Coturnix japonica: one gene and its partner. The protein of the gene in region 1 purifies or fractionates together with the protein of each later gene. This does not show direct contact. Links are inferred from orthologs where the notes say so. Each region holds a gene or a part of one and is shown in the gene's direction. Other genes may lie near its edges.

Evidence for each region.
Region 2: the proteins of ARRDC3 (region 1) and WWP1 purify together in Homo sapiens (affinity purification with mass spectrometry; 4 studies listed by BioGRID and IntAct, counting the BioPlex papers as one, with this or other methods). This does not show direct contact. The link is inferred for Coturnix japonica from reciprocal best matches to the Homo sapiens genes ARRDC3 and WWP1.

What each region holds. Positions count from the first base shown.
Region 1 is NC_029547.1:52,957,132-52,960,789, forward strand, and holds part of ARRDC3 (arrestin domain-containing protein 3), read left to right. Parts: intron 1-767; coding exon 768-870; intron 871-1,219; coding exon 1,220-1,476; intron 1,477-1,865; coding exon 1,866-2,028; intron 2,029-2,858; coding exon 2,859-3,013; intron 3,014-3,658. UniProt on the Homo sapiens protein: Adapter protein that plays a role in regulating cell-surface expression of adrenergic receptors and probably also other G protein-coupled receptors.
Region 2 is NC_029517.1:111,480,888-111,484,545, forward strand, and holds part of WWP1 (NEDD4-like E3 ubiquitin-protein ligase WWP1), read left to right. Parts: intron 1-10; coding exon 11-95; intron 96-205; coding exon 206-334; intron 335-1,382; coding exon 1,383-1,455; intron 1,456-1,547; coding exon 1,548-1,619; intron 1,620-2,179; coding exon 2,180-2,268; intron 2,269-3,658. UniProt on the Homo sapiens protein: E3 ubiquitin-protein ligase which accepts ubiquitin from an E2 ubiquitin-conjugating enzyme in the form of a thioester and then directly transfers the ubiquitin to targeted substrates.

The sequences.
Region 1 (3,658 bases):
ATCACAATTCTATATATGATCTTTTTCAGAAATGTCATTTTTATTAAAATCTTAGTGTTGCAACCGCTTTCAGTAAGGAGCTGATTTCAATCTGGCTTAAGATTTCTTTTTTTCCCCCTTAAACTAATCTGTGGGAGGGGAAAAAAAAAAAAGTCCATTGAAATAGGTTTCTTGTGTGTATGAGTGAAAAACCAGACTTGCAGAACATTGGCCTTGCACAAACTCCATTAAAATCAAAGGACTCCCATTTGACTTTAATGGGCTTTGGATCAAGTCCGAAATCCTGATACCACATAAAATTAAAGTCTGTTCATTATAGATGAGACAGGATTGTTCAGAAACAGGAGAAATCAGAAGAGCTAAGGTTGTGGTACCTAAACTTAGTTATTGTTTCTGAAATGCTGTGTAATGGAAAGTGGGAAGGCCTTCCAGTAGGAAGCTTTGCCAACAATATGTTGGTATATGTAGGCTATAAAGTCTTCCAAGCCACACAGTGTTTATTTTCCAGTCACACACTGTTTTAAAAATGACAGTAGTTTAGAGGGTGGCAGAAAAAAAAATCGCTGAAAGAGCAGTGAAATAGGATGTGCCGTGTATCTGTGTTGGACCATTTAAATTGCTTGAGGTTTTTTAATTATAAATGGAACAAACTTTGCTTATCAATTAACAATAAATACATGACAAATAATTTGGAGGTATGGATTAAAATATACAAGCAGATTCATGGAACTCTCGATTAAACTGCCAATGTTGTTCTTTTTTTGCAGTCACCCCAAGCAGGCACAAAAGAAAAGACTCTCTGTTGTTGGTTTTGTACCTCAGGCCCAATATCCTTAAGTGCCAAAATTGAAAGGAAGGGCTACACCCCAGGTACGTAACAAAAGTAATTATAGGAAGTGTTTTTCCTTCCCTTTTAAAACTGCTTTCATATAAACAAAATATTACAACTACTCTTAGCATCTCAGTCTGCATTTAGCCATCATCTCAGTTTATTGTTGAAGAATGCTAGTTTTGTTTGCAGATTGTTGAACGATGTTTGCTTCCTTTTGAGTTATTCATTATTTTTTCTAGATTAGGTTATGCTGATCCTATCCTTTTACGAACAATGGATGTTTCTAAGGGTATAGCAGAGTCTAATGTGTGGTAACAGTATCAAGTGGCAGTTCACTTAAGATGCTTAGTAAATGCAAACATTACATTAAATTCTGTTTTGTTTCAGGTGAATCAATTCAGATCTTTGCTGAGATTGAGAACTGCTCTTCCCGTGTGGTGGTGCCAAAGGCAGCCATTTACCAAACACAGGCATTTTATGCCAAGGGGAAAATGAAGGAAGTCAAACAGCTTGTTGCCAACCTGCGTGGAGAATCTTTATCATCTGGCAAAACAGAAACCTGGAATGGGAAAGCGCTGAAAATTCCACCTGTTTCTCCTTCAATCCTTGACTGTAGTATAATCCGTGTGGAGTATTCACTAATGGTATGCAGAAGCATGTTTAGTTTCCACTGTGCTTAAAAAAAAAATTGCTAGTGAAGCCTTCTATGTTAGCTACAAGAGACTACATTTCCTAGTAGCTAGTACTAGTGTCCCAGCAGGAGTTTTGCAAGTGAATTTTACTTCAGTCATAAGGTTTTTTAAACAGTTGTGATTTGTTATCTAAACAAACATGTCATTAGTAGATATTTTTGTGTGTGGACTCAGATTAAGAATCCTGCTTTATAAATTGTGGAATCTGTCTCCTTAAAGACATGCACCATGAAGTTGATAAGTTCTTCCTGGAGAATTTCATGGCAAAAAGAGTTAGCAGACTAAGTATTGACTCAAGTGTACACTGTAATCATACATATTTTTTTGTTTGTTTTGTTCAGGTCTACGTTGATATTCCAGGAGCCATGGATTTATTCCTTAACTTACCACTGGTCATTGGTACCATTCCTCTACACCCATTTGGTAGCAGGACATCAAGTGTGAGCAGCCAGTGTAGCATGAATATGAACTGGCTTGGTCTGACACTGCCTGAAAGACCAGAAGGTAATGTCACAACATAAATCCTAATCAAATTGCTAGTCTTGTTGCTTTCAATTTAGTATGCTTTGTTCATTGCTGTCAGACCCAGACCACATCCTTTTATAATGAAGGTGACAGGAAGTCTCTTGTGGATGCTTTCTTGCCACCTTTATGAGCTCGATCAGAATTCACTTAGTCCTTGACTTTCTTTCTAGGAAAAATAGTTGTCATCCAGCTGTGTAGAAACTGTTGAAGGCAAAATCTCAGGATTCCTGTGTCCCTGTATAGAAGTGATTCCCTTTCCAGTATCCTAATTGCATCTTTAGTTATAAGGCATTGTAACTCCATAATAAATCCAGTTTCTGGTGGGTTTTTTGTTTTTGTTTTTTACCAGTCTTAACTGACTTGTCTCAGTGAGAAGATGCTATTCTTGTCAAAGGGAAGTCTCCCTTAACAACGGATTAGCTTCTTTCTGTGTTCTCACACATATTTGATAAACATCACTTTACTACTAAGTCGTACATTTCTAGAGTAAAGGGTTACATTCAGTTCCTTCATACTTAACCTGTACAGATACACTCAGAGTTCAGGTTGTGCTTTAAATATGAGTATTTAAAGGGTGAGGAGTTAACTAAGCCGCAGTAAGCAGATGCTGGCCTGTTAATAAACATGAGCATAACGTTAAAGTAAAATAAATTTACTCCTTTCTTAGTCTTCCTTCAACAATTTTATTTTGTCACTGAAGTCACTTGTCTACCTGCCAATGCATCTTGGAATAATAAGTTTAATATTTCTCATGTATCTTGAAATGCATAACAACTGTTGTTTGAACTGCGTGTACTTTTTCCCTGCAGCACCTCCCAGCTATGCAGAAGTGGTCACAGAGGAACAGAGACAGTCCAGCCTCCCTCCTGTAGCTGCTTGTGATGACTTTGAGAGAGCGCTGCAAGGACCATTGTTTGCGTACATCCAAGAATTCCGCTTTCTGCCTCCACCACTCTATTCAGAAGTAAGCACCTCAGACTAAATTAATCAGCATACTCTCTTACTGAATCTGAATTGTGGAATATGTGAAGTGTCAGGAAAACAATACGAAAAGGTTGAAGCTGCAATGAGTAAGGCAGCTACTTTTGTTTTTTCCTAGTGAAGTTTCTGATAAATTGTATCAAGAATCTTCCATACCGTTTTCACAGTGTGGATTACAAATGATTACATCTTTCAACCCGACTTGTGCAACCTTAAATTTGAATGTTGCCCCATTCATGTGTCTTAGCTATCATATTCTTTCCTTGCACTGAAAGCCATGACAAGATTCCTCAGAAGTCTCATTATTTCTAGAAATTTCTGAACTCTTGCTTGAAATGTCTGCAACATGTTCTTTTGTACATGTACACACACACTTAGTTTACCAACTTCATGTATAGGATGCAGTATTTTCATATAATGACAGAATGGTTTGGGTTGGAAAGGACCTTTAAGGTCAATTTAAACCCAGCCCCCTGCTATAGGCAGGGGCACTCCCACTAGACCAGGTTGCTCACAGCCGCATCCAGCCTAGCCTTGAATGCTTCCAGAGGAGGGCCAGTCTTCCAGGCAATCTGTTGTCTCGCCAGCCTCACAGTAAAGAATTTCTTCCTAATACACAAGCTAAACC
Region 2 (3,658 bases), on another chromosome or scaffold:
TTCTCCCTAGAAAGGAGAGTGGATTCAAATGATAGGGTGTATTTTGTAAATCATAACACAAAGACAACACAGTGGGAAGACCCTCGAACCCAAGGGTAGGTGTGTATATTGACTGTATAAATGAAAAGATCTTGCTTAATCATTGCTTTAAAAGTCATGATATAGGCAGGAGGCAAACATCACTGCCTGAATTTTTTTTCTGCAGTTTACAAAATGAGGACCCTCTTCCAGAGGGCTGGGAAATCAGATACACTAGAGAAGGTGTACGATACTTTGTTGATCATAATACAAGAACTACCACCTTCAATGATCCTCGTACCGGGAAGTCTTCTGTGTAAGTGAGGAAATGTAAAAGTATTTTCTAACTTTTTCATTTGTTACATTTCAATGATGCAATTCTTCTTATACCAGAAAACAGTCTATGCTTCTAGCTATAATTGAGCAATAAATTTTGAACATATTGTTTTCTTGTAAACCTAATTTAAACTTTTAATTGTCAGTTTCTCTGTGCCACACTTCACCATATTACTGTAAGGTTCAATAGTTTTTATGCACTGTTCAAATACAAAGATTTTAATTACACTATAAATTGAGAAAGGAAGTGATGTAAGCCTGTACATTGTAAATTCAACTAATTTAACTAAAAGACAATTTTAATGGAAACAACAAATGATTGTAAGATGCATTGCTTATAGTTATATACGCTCTAATAATATTAATGGCTAAACAATCAAGTTCTCAATACTTGTCAAAATTTTACTTGCAGATATTCTATTTCTAAATAGGGTAATCAGATATGTTGACCCAGCTGATGGTGTCTGTCTTAATGCCTTTTGTGTATAGTAGCATTTTTATGGCTTACCTTTGATGCATCAGTGGCAGTTCCTTCAAAGAACCTGTAGATTGGTCTAGTATAAATTTCTTCTTGGTTCCTCAAACCAATGAAGCCTTTATAACCTATGTTAACCCCTGGTGATTATGATGTGATTAAGTTCATACTGCAGCCTTTCTCAGTGAAGACAATATAGTAGATGTCTTTCCTTTATCTGGCTTTTAATTTTTATGAAATTGATAAATACTTGAAATCCTCAGAATCTCTACCCTTGAGTAGTATCTTTAACTTGAATAGTATCTTTAACAGCAGCAGCAAAAAGGTATGTGTGGCAAGGGTGAGGAAAGGAAGACTGGCCAACCAAATGTTTAGTTTATTTGGGAAATAATACAAAAAGGAGTTGGGACATATATTAAGAATTTCCATTTCTGATCATATCTTACGATTGCAATTTTTTGTGCATTTTTGAAATCTGCAAACTCTTGTTTAGTGTTGAAAGTTCTGTTTGATGTCTGTGTGGTTAATGTGTCTCAAATATATTCCCTTACAGAAATAAAGGGCCACAGATTGCCTATGAGCGTAGCTTTAGGTGGAAACTTGCTCATTTCCGTTACTTGTGTCAGGTACTGATTAAGTAATTACTTAGTTTTTGAGACTTTTTGAATTTTCATAAACGTATTTTCTGCCTTGTAACATTATTACTTTATGATTACAGTCCAATGCACTGCCAAGCCATGTGAAAATCAATGTATCCAGACAGACTTTGTTTGAGGATTCCTTCCAGCAAGTAAGACCGCAAAATTTGTTACGTTTATAAGCTCAAGTTTTTCAGCTTCAGTCTGTAGCCAGTGTATATTCCTTCTTCTTTGTAGTGATCAAATGCTTCCTGCCCTTGTTACATCAAAGCCTCTTTGAGTAGGCTCCTCTTAAACTAAAAGTGTATTATCAATGAAAGTATATTTCACTTCAGATCAGAGGAAAGCACGTTTTTAGGTTAGTTTTCTAAACATCTGTAGTATGTGAGATGAAAAGCCTTTTACCCAATTTTCCTTTAAGACTGGGAGATAATGTGTACCTTCAGAGCTGTATAAGAAAAGGGCAACCATGTAGTGATAATTTCCAGATAAGCTCTGCTCCTTGTTCACAGTCTGCTACTCAATCTGAGTTGGTATTTTTTTGTTCAGTTCCTTGACTGCGTGTTCCATGAGTTGCTGTAATTGCTTTTCAAATCCCTGTAAACATTTATCCTATGTGGTCTATCTGTAACAATTAAATCTAAATTTGAGGGAGCAATTGCATTGAAAATACATCATTTATAATTCAGTATGAATTTTGTTCATTTGATAGATTATGGCATTAAAACCCTATGATTTGAGGAGAAGATTATATGTTATATTCAGAGGAGAAGAAGGACTGGATTATGGTGGATTGGCAAGGTAAAATAAAATTTATTTGGAAGTGTTATTTTTTCCTTTTCTTTTTTTTTAATGGCATTCTAATTATGATTTCTCATGTCATTCAATTCAGAAAGTAACTGCTTGCTTTTACAGTCTTGTCTTGGTTAGTTCTTTAGCTCCCCTTAATGTAGTAAGGAGGTAGAACTGGCAGCTTTGGCAATTGTTATGGGTAGAAATTATATTAGTAAAACTATGATCTCAGTTCAGTTCATTGACAAAGACTAATGCTTACATTGGATTTTAATTTTATTTTGTGCCAGTAAATTTTTCTAGACAGAGTTATTTCAGAAAGTTTCTACCATGTAGTTCAGCTTTGTTGAAAATAGGGATTGTGGAGTACATAATTTTGCTTATTTAGGAAAAAATCAAACAGACAAATGCAGATTAGGGGATGATATAAGCAGAATGGCTGTGAGCTAGGAGAGAGCGGTGCAGGCGTGAAGTAATGGGGGAGAACTTTGCAGGCTGTGCAGGAATGCCCAAAAGCTGGAGCACGAGTTTTTCTAGAATCTGAAGTGGATTCAAAGGAATTTTAACAAGAAAATCATAGGTAAAGTGCATTTCCTTTATTATCCATAATGTGGATAACCACTGACTATTGCAACCAGTTACTTGACTGAAGTGTTGCTATTATGCTATTAAGATGAAAATGTCAGTTACTACTGCAGGTCTGCTGAACCCGATGTAGTGGTAGGTGATAGAGGTGGTCTTTACTGTGTTTTTGTTCTTTGTTTTTTTCTTTTTAGAATGAGTCCTGTTTCAGTTTTATTCTGTTCCCAGTTAACTTACTGTGTTAAAATGTGCAGTATTTGTAAGGAAACCTTACAGTGTTTGTGAACACTGAGCTTTTTTGGATGTGTGTGCTTATGTTTCTGAATTACAACATTATAAAAAAATGTTGGATGACTGCAGGGAGAAATCCACTTTTTTTCAATTAATTAATTATTTTTTTTTTAATATAAGTTTTGTTTTGTTTCGTGTTCCTAAGATGTTGCCCCTGGGCTTAAGCTGAGATCCTGGAGAGTTTAAGTTACCTGTTCCCAAGAAACAGAAATACTCCAAAGAATAACTGAACTAAAGGGTATCGGTTACGGAGTATGGCAGAATAAATTAAAAAAAGAAGGATGCAAGTAGTAAAATTCCATAGATTTTGTAATAAATCTTACCCAAGACACGGGATGTGAAGCTAAGAAACAGCAAGGGCCTCCTTGTAATACAGATGAGAATTCTGAAATAAATGCTCACATACTGACTTGCTCATGCAATACTGTGTTAACACAAGTATTGAAAGCCACTGCACCTGATTAATCATCCTGTCTCTTAGCAGGCTAAACTCTGCGTGTGTCCCCTCCAGATTTTTACCTTGTTT